2 linked regions of the Drosophila melanogaster genome follow. The protein of the gene in region 1 interacts with the protein of each later gene in a biochemical or structural test. Each region holds a gene or a part of one and is shown on either strand. Other genes may lie near its edges.

The links. Proteins that work in one complex are often made in the same cells at the same time.
Region 2: the proteins of Su(dx) (region 1) and pyd form a complex in vitro, tested with the Drosophila melanogaster proteins (one study listed by BioGRID).

What each region holds. Positions count from the first base shown.
Region 1 is NT_033779.5:2,034,968-2,044,868, reverse strand, and holds Su(dx) (suppressor of deltex), read right to left. Parts: upstream 7,156-9,901; 5' UTR 6,645-7,155; intron 6,342-6,644; exon of another isoform or gene 6,228-6,341; intron 5,137-6,227; exon of another isoform or gene 5,065-5,136; intron 4,940-5,064; 5' UTR 4,878-4,939; coding exon 4,715-4,877; intron 4,653-4,714; coding exon 4,510-4,652; intron 4,448-4,509; coding exon 3,296-4,447; intron 3,223-3,295; coding exon 2,300-3,222; intron 2,217-2,299; coding exon 2,018-2,216; intron 1,956-2,017; coding exon 1,686-1,955; 3' UTR 497-1,685; downstream 1-496. Other genes in the region: lectin-22C, read left to right, coding at 7,622-8,413; CG42296 (uncharacterized protein), read left to right, coding at 8,933-8,987, 9,305-9,901.
Region 2 is NT_033777.3:8,861,349-8,867,272, forward strand, and holds the start of pyd (polychaetoid), read right to left. Parts: upstream 3,001-5,924; 5' UTR 2,894-3,000; intron 2,186-2,893; exon of another isoform or gene 2,154-2,185; intron 1,658-2,153; exon of another isoform or gene 1,646-1,657; 5' UTR 1,435-1,645; coding exon 715-1,434; intron 605-714; exon of another isoform or gene 532-604; intron 1-531.

The DNA.
Region 1 (9,901 bases):
TAGTTTAAGCACCATTTTGATAGGATCTACCAGCAAAATCCTCTCAGTGCATCGCCACCTGTACGCTGTGTAGTTTTCCTGTTTTGACTGCTGTGTTTTTGCAATTTAACCGCAATAAATAATGGAGCAGCTTGTTAAATTTGAGCGCCCGCCCACCAGGAGGCGCTGCAAAAATGTAGGTTAGACAGCCCAGGATAACGATAGTGATGTTGGTGGTTATGATGGCAATGATGACGGGGATGATGATGGCGATGTTATCAGTGGCCATTTCACTGGCTGACCGAAACGAGACTCGTTTGGTGTGGAAATGCGATTTTTACATATGTGATATAGATTTTAATTGCGGGGCATTAAAATGCAAGTGGCGGCCAAAAATGCGCTTAAAATAATTACATTTATTGCCGCATCGCCGATTTGGCAGCCGACTAAGCGAAAAGCAACCGCAAATGTCGACACAGCAACGCCAAGTATCAAGTATTTCATCCATCGGCCGTGTATCACTAAATAATTTTGCATTTATTTTATATAATACAGTACACATTGCATTAAACTAAATAAAATCTATTTAATATATATATATATATTTAATATGTACTCGTACACAATCAACCCTATATACGCCGCACCTCCTAATCATCCGATTTGTCTTAGTCCGCACTTTTGTGTAGCGTAGTTAATATACGAATCGCCTTTAGTTTTGTTAACAATTATTGCTATTTGAATTCATTATTGGTTTAAGTGTATTCTCGTGTTTGTCGTTTAAAATCCTAACGTATTTTGTTTGTTTGTTTGCGGTGTTTCAAGTTCTCACTTCTCACGATGTCTGCGTCGTTAGTGTGGATATACATATTTAAAATATAGTTTCTATTTAAAGTTCTGTGTATGCTCGATAAACAATTGAACAGCTAAAACAGTTTGCCAGTACACCAAACTCAGCTCGTCAACAATTCGAATTCGGTCGAGTAAACTATTTACAGTGGAGCGTATCAATATAAATTCACCAATTGTGGTTAAAAACATGCAAGCCGGGGCTCGTTGTACAATTGAACTAGAAGCAATCAGAGTGCAATCTTATGGCGAAAACGTAACATTTAGTTGCGATTGCTAGACAGTTTGATGTGATCCAAACGGATGGATGCCCTAAGCAAGCCCAAGTTCAAATTTGAATATATTCTGGGAATGGCGGTGCTTAAGTTCTTAAAGGCTTAGCTGAAGCTAAACGGTAGGTGGTTTTATTTATCGGCGTAAAACAAGGATCCAAAGAAATGTATGACAATTACATTTGAAGATAGATGGTCGTAAGAAATATCAACAGAAGCGAATCAATCAAACTTTGTCTTAAATTTACACAGGAGAGTTATGCAGTGGATAAATTATGCCTAACAAATTATAAATATCTCTAAAATAGGCTCTCAATACATTCATACATAGATTGTTCTCAAGTTTCGTGCACTTTTAACAAATATCTCGTGTGATATCGGTTGCGAACATAGGAATAGACAGACAGAAGTGTGTGTTTCGTGTTTACAGTATACAGTAGTAATACATACGTATGTAATAATAATAATAACAGTAACTATTTAACGCAACGTGGTCGTCAAATGGAAAGGGGGAGGGGACGGTAAAGCAGGCGCTTAACTGGAATTAAACATTAATCAACAAACCGACCACAAATCGACTGCCACTCATTCCTGGCAGAAGCCCTCAGTCTCCTCGATGGCAAAGGTCAGCTTCTCCACCAGCTGATCGTAGCTCTTGTACGGCGGCAGGTCCAATCGATTGAAGCAGGTGTGCGAGCGCGGCAGCCACGTCTCCTTGCCCACCTTCTCGATGCAGAAGCGCTGCGGCCCGTTGGAGCCCATCAGCTCGGCGAATCCTCCGACCGGCACGCGACACGTGCCCGTCACAAACTGCAGCAGGCGAGCTCGCTTCTCGTTATCCGTCTCGCGAACAAACTGTGGAGCCAATTATCCGGATTAGCGAATGGAAAGGGCACAAAGAACACAAAGGAACCCACCTGCCAGAACCAGACAACTTGCTTGGAGTTGCGGTTGTAGTGCCTGTAGATGGTGTTGCGCTGCCAGTCCTCCACGTCCACGTCCTGCATGCCGCACAGAATAAGCTCCAGCTCGCGCTCGTCAAAGTACTTGAGCCATTCCAGGGGCACCACCTCATTGAAGCCTTCCAGGAACGTCTTTGTCTGCTGCTCAATGCCACTGCAATAGGAATCAGTTAATACCGAGTCAAAAATGACACCCATATTGACAACATATTGTCGTTTATCAAGTAAAATGCATACCGTGTCATCCGCCACTCCGTCATGAGGGTGATGTACTCCTCCTTGTTCTCCTCCGTGACGCGCTCCTTTTCCCCGTTCTCCTTCAACTCATGATGGATTATCTGACCGAGCACTTCGAAGTCCACGCTAAACCAGAGCTCCAATCCACACTCATCGATGTTGTTATCTTTTACCCAGATAAGTGAGTTGTAGAACTCCGGATCGATCGTTTCGATGTCCTTGATGGTCAACTTCTTGTTCAGCATGCGCTTGTAAAATGGCATTGTGAATCCACTGTAGATAAACCTTCCATGATACAGGGCCATCGCAATAAAGCGACCGATGAACTTGAAGTACTGCAGGTGATCGGGGTTCACGTACGAGGCGGGATTTATCTGCAGGCTGTAGTTGTTCTTGTTCGCGTACTCAAACAAGCAGTACATGGGATTCAGAACCTCGTGGGAGAGCAAGAAGAACCACTCGCGAGATACACCACCATAATCCAGTCCCTCCTCGCCGCGGAATATGATATAGAGCCGCCTTCGCAGTTCGTAGGCTGGCAGACGCATGATCTGGTGGTATGAATCCTCGAACAGGGTTTGTCGCGTCACCGTGATCTTGATGTGCGATGGCAAAGCGTTGCTCTGGCACAAGTACCGGAACTGCGACAGCTTCCAGCGGAAGCTGCGTTCGTAGGCGCGTGGCACTCCGTACACTCCCTTGGCGCCCTTCGGAGCACCGGGTCGAGGATCTTCGAAGGTGGTTCGTCTCGTGTTGTGATCTACGAAGAAGCGCTCACCGGCGGCTGTATAGCGGATTTCCCAGCCGGGTGGAAGCGGGCCCTCGTTGATCAAGCTCACCTCCTGGCCCTGCGTGCGTGGATCCTCCCACTGGGTGGTTCGGTTCTTGTGGTTAACAAAGTACACTCTGTTGTCCGATTGGATCTGCGTAAGGATTAAGTAAATAAAGGAACGAGTTAAAATAAATACTTTTTCTAATCTAGACAAACGGCTTTACCTTCTTCTCCCAGCCATCTGGTAGTGGACCCAGTGCATCCTCGTCGTCCTGCGTCACCTGGGCTGTCACCGCCGTTGGTTGCTGCTGCTGCTGGGAGTACAGGTATCGCTGGTTGCCTTGAGACACGACGTGGGCCCGCTGACCCTGCCAGTGCTGGAAGTGCATCAGACGCTCACTGTTCGGCCGCTGCCAGGTAGTTTTTCTTGTGTTGTGGTCTACGTAGTAAACTCGACCGCGCCCATCCTTCCTGATCTCCCAGCCCGGGGGCAGCGGTGTCGGTTTCTCCCAGTATGTGGATCGTGTATTGTGATCTACGTAGTATCTGCGACCGTACTGGTCCAGACGGATTTCCCACCCTGCAGGCAGCGGCTCATCATCCGCTGGTTGTGTCTGCAGTTGCGGATCTGTGCTTTGGCTCACGGGCAGTCCAACTCCTGGCTGTTCAATTGGTGGGCCTGCTACTCCAGGTGGTCCTACTGCTGCTCCTCCTCCAGCTGGCAAATAAACAGCAGCTGGTTGTGTATTCTCTGGCAGCGCTCCGTACACTTGGGTTAGAGGACGAGCTAGTGCGGGAGCTGGTGGCTGCTGAGGATACGGAGCTGTCTGCGGCACGGCCGCCCCACTGCCATTGACCATTCTCAGGGGCTGCTGTTGATTCTGGGATTGCTGCTGTTGCTGTTCCCACACCGGGGGCGCCTGCGTAGATCTCCTGTGATCTCCACCTCCATTCGGCAGAGGAGAGCGGGTCTCTCCGCCGTTGCTATTTCCACTGCTCGAGCGTAGTCGCATCCGTGCCCGTACTCCACCGTAAATCATGCAACTTCGTCCGGCGGCCGCATCACTGACCACCGACGGATTGACCGCCTGGACGGGTGGATTGCCATTCTGTTGGCCAGCCACTGGCTGAATCTGCAGCTTGCTCATATCGAGTTTGAGGCCATTGAGGATGGCCACTAGTTCGCCGCTCTTCGTCTGGCGATTGTCCGACTTGCTGGTGACGAACAGGTCGATGGTCAGCTCAAGGAACTCGCACCGCCCATTGTAGTGCTGCAGAATGTGCGCCAGGTTGATGATCCGCTCTCCAAGCATGGCATCTTTACGGAAACTGGAGTGATCCAGCACTTTGAAGTGCAGCGTTGAATTGGGTGTAATCTAGAGACGATAGATCCCGTGGATATTACAAATAATTGACTTTTATTACTGTTTCTACTCACCAGCACTGTGAACTCCTCGTTCCACTTGGGCAAATAGCTGTTCTTCACCAGGTCCGTTTTCCGCTTGCTTTTGCTGTCAATCAAGAGCTCCACGTAGGGATTTGGCTTGAGGAAGCCATTGTTGCGCAGCGAAGCCTCCTCGACTGAAAGGATTTGGGGCCATTATTGATTGAACAGAATGTTTCACTTTCTTTTGTTTGCTCACTTGTCACGCTTAATTGATGATATCCTTGATTGGCACTCCCACTGGCCCCCGCCCCCGAGCTGGAGGTGGGCGTGGGGCTGGCGGATCCCGCTCCATTCACTGTCTGCCCGGCTTCCATGCCGCCGGAAGCTGCACCCGCTGGCAGCCCATTTCCATCGGCCATTTAGTGGCTGAGTGTGTGAGTGCTCCTGGTGCTCCGCCTCCTCCTCCGCCTTATATTCCTCCCTTTGAGTGAAGAGAAAGCCAGTATTGAGCACGCTGCTATTGAATATTGGTGGTGGAAAGTATCGAATGGGGGGAAATTGCGTGTTCTGGACTGATAAGATAAGTCCGGAACACGGTCTACATACGTAAATGGTTTATCAATACCCAAAAATGTACAATGCTGTTGAACAGGAAGCTTTTATAGAGTGGAAATAACTATCCGAATAAAAGTGTTGTACACACTTTTGCTAGGTTTACAGATTACCAACAGGCCTTTATGGGAACCCTGAGTGATTTACTAAGCACTTTTTAGGTGTTATGCAGTTTTCCTTAGTCGCTTTAAGCTCTCGACTACTTATACACCTGATCTTAGAAGGCAGATAATGCCAGCTCTATATCATTATGAAAGCGACTATCCGCAGATAAGATATGGCCTGTATAGCTTTGTGTATTATATAGTGTGTAAACGACAGTATGGCAACAAAACTGTTTGCGAATAGGCCTTCACTTTTTTGGTGAAATAAACTGCTCGAACAAATTGTGAGCTGTAAAATCGGCGCTAATGTATGTACAGTGCAACTCGGTCATATATGAAAGATAAAAATTATGCTATTTCAAGCGAAATTAATCATGACCAAACTGGGTAAACAGTTTATTAAAAAACTGAGTAATGTTTCTGATCCCAAAATATATTCTTTGACTAAGTGAGGCTAGAGTTCTAAATTATTGAAAGAAACTTGTATTACTATAGAAATTCCCCCAAATAAATATATAAATGCACTGATAAGTGCACTTGATTTCGTGGACTTTAAACTACTGGGAAGCACCGTATTATCGCCTATTAATTTTCTCCATAATTTGCGACTGCCACGGCTGTGTGCGTGTGTGTTTCCCTGTACTTTTTCGTACACACTCAGCACCGATTGCTGGTCATCCATAACTTTGATAGCAAACACCCCGCTACACAATAGATTGTATAATAATGTTGCCATGTGAGTCATCGGCTCAACGCGAAAAAGAAAACGGCAAGTGAATTCGGTTTCAATTGTTGAATGGCTATTGCATATTGATTGTGTGCAGGAAGCAACATGGCCGATATGGCGATACACAAGCCCACAAATAAGTTATTTTGTTATATATCGTCAGAACTGAAATCTCAATGCTTTAATGACTTCTTCGCTTTGCTTATCGGCATGCTGATAACTACCATGATTTTCTCGCTGTGTACCGTTCGCGATTTCTCTTTTGCTAGCGTTTTCACTACATTAATTAACCGAGAACACGTGAGCAAGTGCAGCTTGTTGTTTACCATTAGTGTCTACTCATCAGATTCTGTGACCGGATTGAAATCGATTTGGAAGGGCTTTGCATGGATCTGAATGGGACACAGTTCTCCGATCAATTAGCACGCACTTTCCGGCTCATTTCGCCTATCATTCGAGCGCTTATCAGTGGGCCGATGAACAAAGGGAAGCTATCTGGTGGGGCAGCCGGAGCGCGAGCCAAGCGAAGTAATCAGCAACAGCTGTCAATAAGCCTAGAATGCACTTCTCGCTCGATGGATGGGGAGGGGTGGTGGAGGGAGGGGAACTTGAACTTCCTTGAATTATCGACCGCAGGGCTTAGTCACCCACACAGCGCCACTATGCTACAGTACACACATATATATGTGTAGATATATATTTATTCGTGGTCATGTAACGCACGCCAGAAAGAAGGTAACTACCTCTCCCACTCCCACTCCTTCTGTGGGTGGGCGTGTGTGTGTTTGTGTGTGTGCGCTTGTAATTGAGGCAAAGGTCGCGACTTCCGTCCCGCTCGCACTCGCTGCCGCCGCTCTACCGCTGGCGAATTCCAATGCAAGAGGCGTTCCTTTTTGTTTTTAGCAATTTCTGGGGGTTTCTCCTCCTCCGTTTTCCTTTCCTTTCTACCTGTGTCTTACCTTCTGCTGCTTCTTCTTCTGCCTCTGGTGCTCCTACAACTTGCGCCTGTGTGTGTGGTTGTTGTCTCCTGTGTGCGGCTGCATGTGCGAGTGTGTGTGCGGGATTCTTAACTGGGTTTCCCGGGCCCCAAAATTGATGGCTGGATTATTGCACTAGTTGGCGCTGCCGCCCTCGCTTTGGTCCACGTAATCGCGAGCAGTTGATATCGCTGCACTAATTGTTTATTTGTTATTTTGCTTCGCTTGCAAGCAGCAATTTCTAGAGCTGCAACTTTGGACGATGTTTTTCGATACAACTGATGTGGCCACTCAGTGCGCGAATCGATAGGTTGAATTCAATTGGCGAGGCTTGTTATGCACGCTAGACTGGGTTGGCGTACTCGCTATATTGCCAACTTACATGTTCAACCAGAGTTGCCGTACAAGCTCAAAATGGAGTAGCCAACCAGATTTGAAAATGACCGCGAATAGGAATTAGGAATAAAAATAAGAACGTATTGCCCGTAGTCACAACAAAACAAAGGTAAATAATTAGCCAAAAAGTTATGCACCAGCTAGTACTTCTGGCCCCTCTGATTTTATTGGAATCTAAGCTTATTACTCCATATAAATTAGAAGCCCCCTGAATATTCATTACTCAGTTGCGTTGCTCATTGAATTTCTTTAAATGTTATTTAATTTTGTGGTGCTATTGAATAAATATAAAAGCGCGGATTCAGTTCATCGAATAACATAGTGTTTGGCAGTAAAAAGTGCTTACAATGCTAAAATCCGCAAGTGCTTTGCTATGTGGTCTTCTTGCTTTAAATTTGTATGGAGCTTGGGCAGAATCCGATGTGATTTGTCCTTTAAAGGACCCTCCTAGTCAATGTGGAGGATTCTGTCTGGGTGTACTTACGCCCGTGTTAAATCACCTGACCATTTCCCAAAATCTGGCGAATTCCAATAATTCAAGCAAGGCTAACGAGGTCCTGGTGAGACAGTACACGATGGAAGGCCAACTGACTGCTCTGCAGAATAAGCAACTAAGCATTGAAGTCGCACTGGATGCCCAAGGCAGAAAACTGAATGTTAACGAACAGAACTTTACTGAACGACTGAATTGCATGGAAGGCATACTGTCGGCCCTGGAGAAAACAGTCCTTGAAGTAAAAACCAAAATAAAATACCTCGGATTCGAGCAAATCGGCTCAAAGTACTATTACATAGAGAAAGTATCCGAGAAGAACTGGTCCACTGCTTCAAAAACTTGTCGCAATATGGGAGGGCACCTGGCCGACATTAAGGACGAGGCAGATCTAGCCGCCATCAAGGCGAATCTCAAGGAGGACACGCATTACTGGCTGGGAATCAATGACTTGGACCACGAGGGAAAATTCTTGTCCATGCCCACGGGCAAGCAGACTACCTTTTTGAAATGGGCCTCGGGGAGACCCTCTCAGTTGGACACCCTCAACTGCGTGTTCCTATACAACGGGGAAATGTACGATTACCCATGCCACTATACTTTCCGGTTCATTTGCCAGACCGAGGAGGAAGATTTAAATGTATGATTTAAATAGAAACCACATGAGAATAATAAAACCTTTGCTGATGCCGTAACACCTGTGATTTTTTATTCAATCCCTCAAGCCTTCATTAGCTTATCTCTATTACTCACTTTATGGTTACTAAATTTACCAGTTTCACGTTATATTGCACTTTTAGACAAACAAACTGCGCACAAAAAGTGAAATTTCCTTGATTCTCCGATCTTTCCAGTAGCACAAAAACTATTTGTTTAAACAATTATTAGCACTCGTTTTAAATACGAGCACTGAGAGCGGAGAGTCCAAGAAAATTCGTCGTATACCATGTTGTTTGTTCGCTTTCGGACTTTTTCACACATTGTCAAGAGTTTCAGAGAACGCGGCTCAAAGTGAAAATTATCAAAATTTAATGTGCCGACCGCTCCGCATCCGCAGTCATTCGTATCGCGGGCTTCGAACGGAGCAGATCGGAACTTACGGCTACGGACTTCGCACTACGGTCGGGAAGGATTACGCGAAGAGGATACGCGAAAAGGATACGCGATGAGGCAGCTGCTGGTTTACGCGTTGGTCGCGGGCTTGTTTTACTTTTCCGAAGGTAAACTCCACCAGCAAGTGTATTGTGCCAGATTTAAATCAGTTTTGGTTTTCCTACTTTCAAAGGAAAGTGTTCATGAATTCATAAACGTAATTCACTGAAGTATCCTAAAAAATAAAAAATGCCTTGAAATGAATAGTTACAATTATTACAAGAAAGTGAATAGCACCTTCCATTGCTTTAAAAATATGTACAAAATGAAACCATGTAGGAAAACCAAAACTTATTATTCGGAAATCTCCGCTAAAGTCGAAGTGCTTTTCCCATGTTAATGTGAACATTACTCCTTTTCCCATTTCCGCACTGGCTTAACGCAGGCAAGCCGTGCCCCGAAAAGACACGCCCCCACAAAACCCGCTGCGACGCCTTCTACAAGTGCCGGGAACTGCCCTCCAACTCGCACGTTTGGATTCCGGTGAAGTGCAACGAGGGATTGGTGTTCGAGTCCAGTTTGGGCAGCTGCGTTCTGCCTGGCGAGGATTGGGAGTGCATCACCCCGAGTGAGATGAGCTCCACGCAGTCGCCACCTGGGAGGCCGGACGCGGACATACTGATAGTCAACGACATGGACGAGGCGGGTCTGCTTTTGAGCGACTCCAGTCACAAGGACGATGGCACCGTGGAAATAATTCTAGACTCCACACTGAGCAGTGAGGAGAATGAGGTTAATGAGGAGGCGGCCAAGAGCAAGCCGCAGCCGGAGGAGGACTTCTCTTCCAATCACAACTTCGACTCGAGCGGCGATGGGGAGCTGGTGGAACTGGATTCCCCCGCTGGTCTGAAGCCCGAGAACCGCGAGGAGGTGACTTCCAGCAGCATGGAGCACAGAACAGAGGTGGAAAAGCTAAGAACGGAACTTAAACAGGTGGCTGGTATCAGCGAAATAGCCAAGCCGGGATCGCCCATCGATCCCA
Region 2 (5,924 bases), on another chromosome or scaffold:
AATTTTAATTTTTGCGCAGACGCACCCCAGGGGCGGTAGGCTTCACTGCCTCCATTCTGGACACTGCAGACAAGCCACGAGTGATGACTGATGATGACCTGGCGGAACGAGCCACACTACCTCCATACATACATCCACGAATGTAATTAAGGTGGCCAAATGGAAAAAAAAGGTGCCACAGCGACAATTGAAAGTGTTGCAACGCGAGTTGACAAATTTCGATGTTGCCCAAGAGCAATGCAATGCGGTGATTGATGGCTGAGGTGGTGGTATTCAATGGCGTAAAGAATTTTAATATTAGGAAATCAAGGAATTTCCCTTAAATATATATATTCTATCTGAGGGGTAAAATAACCAACTTTAAGTCCTGTCATAAAGATTTTTATATTTACTGTTTTTAACGTAGAGTTCTAGATTTATAATCTCAAATGAGGTATTCGGATAAAAAACGATTTAGCAACTGTTAACGGTGAACTAAATTATTTGTAAAGCCCGTCTTTATGTTAGTCATATTTTTCAGAGTTGCCAACTGACCGTGTGGCCTAATGGATAAGGCGTCGGACTTCGGATCCGAAGATTGCAGGTTCGAGTCCTGTCACGGTCGTAAAATTAACTTTTTTCTTTTGTATCCAGAATTTTTTTTATTTATTTTATGAAAATGAGATTTGAGGGCATTTGGTTGCATTTATCACACTTTGTAAGTCTGTATCTCACCTTCTTGAAGCGCCTTCGCTGCGATGAGGAGTGCGTCGATGCAGTTTCGAGCAGATTGCTGTTGTTATCCCCCCCATCCCTTTTGCCCAGTGCCTGGAGAAGATCGTCAACGTTGCGTATATAGGGGCGATCTCGATCCCCGCCGCGTTCCCTTTCCTTTTCGCCACCCCCTCCACCGCCGCCCATGCAGCTGGTTATGCTCCGATTGCCCACACTATTGCTACGCGATCGGGATCTGGTCTTTTGCTTGCCCAGCCAGTAAACCTGATTTGCCAAATTTATTTCGGCGGCTGCCGCAGCCTTTCTTCTGCCCAATTGTTGTTGCTCCTGCACCTGTTGATGCTGCTGCTGCTGTTGTTGCTGCTGCTGCTGTTGTTCACTGGCCAGATATTCGCCGGCTATATGAACCTTGGGTGCACTAACCAACTGCAGGCCAGTGGCGCCGAATTGCTGAGGGAATTCGTGCAACTCGAGGGGGAAACGGGGATCCATGGTCTGACCCGGTTGACGCGGGTACATATAGCCATCGCGTAGAAACATCTTGCTGGTGGTATAGACCCTATCCGCGATTTGGTACACTCCACTCGAGCCGGGACCCTCGGCGCCGCCAATAATTCCATTTCGGACATAGGCTGTCGGGCGATAGCGAACGAGTGGGTTATATACATTCGATTTGGGGGGTTTCGTTTTGAAACTGCGACGTCGCGTGCTGGGCTTCATATTTTTGTTGTATTTAATTTTCGTTTTTGTTCGTTTGTATTTGCACCCCGCGATAACAGAATGTTTGCTCTACAGAAAATCCACCCTTGTGCTGTAGGTTGCTTGCACACGTATCAAATGTTTTCGAGTTTAAGCGTGCTTGGAACAAGCGACCGTGTGGCCTAATGGATAAGGCGTCGGACTTCGGATCCGAAGATTGCAGGTTCGAGTCCTGTCACGGTCGAAACCAAAGTATTATTTTTTTTTTGTGAGAAACTTATGTTTTGTTCTTTAAAAAATTCAATTTGTTGCAAACTAAAACCATAAAATAAATCAACAAAAACAACAAAAATTTTAAGGTTCACTTGGCTAATTTTACATAAAATCTACACTGTCTTTAGACTGACGATAGAATGTTTTATGATTACATGTAAAATTAGATCACGCAAAATTATATTTTTTTCCTTTGGAAATATATAAAAAAAAAAAAAATAAAACCAGATTAGTGTTTCAAGGGTGTTGAGTTAATTTAGAGACTTTTTGTTCTTTTTCAAATGTAATTTTCGACCGCGTAAAAGTATGCTATAGATATGGTTGAATTATTTTTCATGGCGTTCTTGTTTAACAGCGCACAAAAGCAGGCAACATTTGTGTTTTTAAAAACGCCTGAGAGAGGCCAATAAAAAAGAGATAAACCCTATAAACTATATTGAAAATAACCGATTTTTTAAGGGTTTTACGCGACCAACACGTTCGGCACACTGCACGTTCGATTTTCCACTGCAATTGTTTGATTTTATTGCAACAACTTTTTCTGCTTTTCTGTTGTTTGCTGGAAGGCACGCACTGCCAATCCAATTAGCCGGGGTTCACCTTTCGAGCCGTCGTCTTTGCGCAAGGTAAATTGTTTTTCGAACCCAAAGTATTGACACAGTTTGCGAGTCACTTGTTTTGTTAGACACATTCGTCTTCCTGAACTGTCAACCGAGCTGTCATATGGATGAGACAGAATGGAGAATAGAGAGAAAGAGAGCCATGCTAATCTGTCAACTCTGAGTTCGTTAATTAAAGACTGATTTGGCAAATAATTGTGGCTTAGCCCTGATCGACCCCAATACCAATTTACAAGCTCAAAACATTGCAAAAACTCAAAGGTACCCCGATTGGGTCAATGAATGTGCGGTCTATTGAACTTTTGATAGTATTATTGACGCCCCTTTTTCACTTAATGATTGCGAATTGAGTTCAGCCGTCGGAAAATACTTTCAAGGTTATCTTACAGGGATCATAAATATAATATCCAAATTTATAGTTAAAAACTAAGTGGAAAAGATGTGGCCAAATATAAATCCCTCTGTCTAAGTGCACATTTTTCTTGTTTAATATATTCAAATTTTCCCTTTCTTTTATCACTTCTGTCACTCCACTTAATTCAATGGCCCTTCTCAGTTTCAATCTGTCAACTTCCTATTATTTCCACCTTATCTGTTTGAGGTTTGTCTTTCTAACACTTCCGCCTACGAAAATCGTTTATTTTTGGTGTGGATTTCTTTTCGTTTCAATCGCGACGAGGCTCAAATACGAACTAAACTGAAATGAATTCAATGAATTTGAAGAGCCTATCGGACACGAGAACATTTTCCAATGGATAGCGTTTCCAGCCGGAGAAGAATACAAGAACAAAAGTGATTGCGATAAAGCTTGGACTGAGCTGAGCAGAGCCCAAGTGAAATGAGACGAAATGAGGGGCTTAAGCCAAACAAATACACCCCTTAAAAGCGTAAATTGTGAAATGGGGCAGATGTTTGGGGGAAAAAACCAAGAATGAAAAGGTTTGAACGATGAACCTCGAGCTATTTTAAAACCACACCCAAATATTTAATACATATCAATCAAGTTCTATGATGTTATGACAAAAAATGGTTTGAGAAACTCTATTTTGTTTTAAGAGGCTCCAAAAGATTTTTATGTTTCTAATTCCATGGAAATACGTATATTTTCTTTGCATAAATCATTGTACTTACAAAGAATTCATCTTCGATGACGGGATCGGCCAGCATCTCAATGGCCTCCGTCATGGATCTGCAGGTGCGATTCGTGTTCTTCTTCTTCTTGAGCTTCCGGCCCAAGGTGGCGGCATCGCTGAAGCGATGAAGCAGTTTGTCCCTCTTCCGGACCGCCAGCGGACTGGTCGTCGAACTGGCGTGACATAACAGCGATCCGTAGCCATTCGTAGAGGATATGGTGCCAGTATTAGCGTAGAAATTCTGCGGTTGATATTGCGCCGGAGCAGTGAGTGTGCTGTTCGAGTCGATTTTCTGTATGAGATTGTACTCGGATTGGGGATATTTGCTGGCCAAATGCGATACAGAATCCGCTTTGGAACCCAATTGCGGCTTGGGTGGCGGCGGTGGCGGTGGATCCTTCATCAAGGCCACCCGACGGGGGGCGGCGCGGGGTATGGTGGCCGAATGGGGGGAGGAGGTGGCGTCACCGCCATAACTAACAGCGCGACGATTGCGATCGTTTTCCTTTTCCCTGAAAGGAAATTTAAATTTAATTTATTAGAATTTTCAATGTATGTTTTACTTGATAATAATAGAACTAAATATGTTTTAAGTACTAAACACAATGTAAATCTACCTATAACGCCTCCTCTGCATCGGTGGACTAAAGAAGAAGTTGGGCGACAGGGGTACAAAGTAACCCCATTGGGGATCTCGATTCGGTCCCTCATGATACATGCCCAACTGGGGCGTCATCTCCCTGGATCGACTGGATCTGAGAATGGGCATGGAAACCCTCTGTGGTCCGAAACTTCTATTAGAGCGATACCGATTCCTATACATATGACGCTCCAGTGAAGATGTGGTGGTCGTAGCATCCGATTCCAGGGTGCAATCCGAATGATCCTTGTTCTCCAGGGTCACATTACTGCCCAGCTCATCGTCATTATCATCATCATCATCCGTGGAACACTCGGGCACCGTATAGCAGGCATAGTCGAATTGCGACATTGTAGAATCGTTTTTCTTATGTCTTTATTTGTTTGGCTTTTCGTTTGCACACACATTTAGTTCTTTGTCATTGTGTCTTTGCGACTCCCACGTAAAATGTTTCAATTATTTAATTAGTCTGCAACTTGTTGCTGTTTTTTATTTGAGTGCTTTACTTTTATTTTTACCTGACAAATGTTAAATGACATTTTCAGTTGGTCTGGCACTTAATTGCTCCACTAGAGTTTGGTCATGTCTTGGATATTTTCTGGTGGCAAAAGAACATTATTTAAGGCATTTATCATGTTCACCCTCTGGACAATTGTGCTTCCCGCCAGAAAAAAATTTCAGGGGTTGTGTATGTCCAGTGGGCACAATTAAAAGTCGTTTTCGGCCTCTGTTGAAAAGTTCGCCTAATGAGGTGTTGAACGGAAGACGTTCTAGTTATGATACTTAACTTGGCCACGACTTTTTACAGACAATTTACTACGGTCCGAAACACAAAAGAAATCAGTGGGAAAGCTAAAAGGGCATTTAACCGAAAGTATTTCATAATTGTTAAGTAAAATGTTCTTTTAGGAATCTTATTGTTAATTTACTATATCTGTATGTATGCACGAAAGGCAAATTTAACTTTGCGGCCTGGCTAGCTAGTAAATTTGCAGACTAAACGTTCATTATTCATTAATGGGGTGAAAAAGGAAAGTGTCAACAGTGAAATCCATCAACATTGCAATTAAAATGTCAAACAAGGAAGTGACTGAGTGGCAGACTCCCGTTTAACCCGCACTTCCTATATACCAAACCAACCCCCCACTAAAAAACGAACTCCACATTATACAGAAACTCTCTATAAAGAGGCTCCATCCATCCATAATGATGATGCAAAAAGTGATCCCCGAGGGGAAAATGTGTAACTGGAGAGTCCAATTGCAGAATTCACAGACAACGACACTCCGGATATGAAGATTACAACGGATTTGGGTTGCCACTCCCGCTGTTGTTTATATTTATTTTATTGTTGCAATTATTTTCCTCTTTACAGCATAGAATTGCATATTAAACGTGATTAATGACAAACGAGAGAAATGGGGGAAAACAGCCGGATGGATAGGCGCGTAGTATAAAATGATGTATAATTTTTGATTGCGCAAAGGAAAATTAGCATATGAGGCGCCTGTGTTTATGGAAATGGTGAAATCAGTCAGAAAAAGGGGAGCAAATCATTTGCATGGCTGGTCGCCAATTCTAAAAAATGTTTCAAATTATTTATAGATAATTGTTGAAAGCAATTATCCTTATTATTTCATTTTTTATTATTTATATTTATTTCTGTTACTTTTTATTTCAATATTTAAATATTTTTCATTGCTTATTTGTTTATGGCGAGTCCATTGTCCACACTGCTCACTGATTTGCTCGCGTAAATCATTCTAAAAATACTTTGATTGGGTCAGCGAATTTCCCAGTAATTTTCAAAACATATCCCAATTTTTCTGTACTATATCATTTACA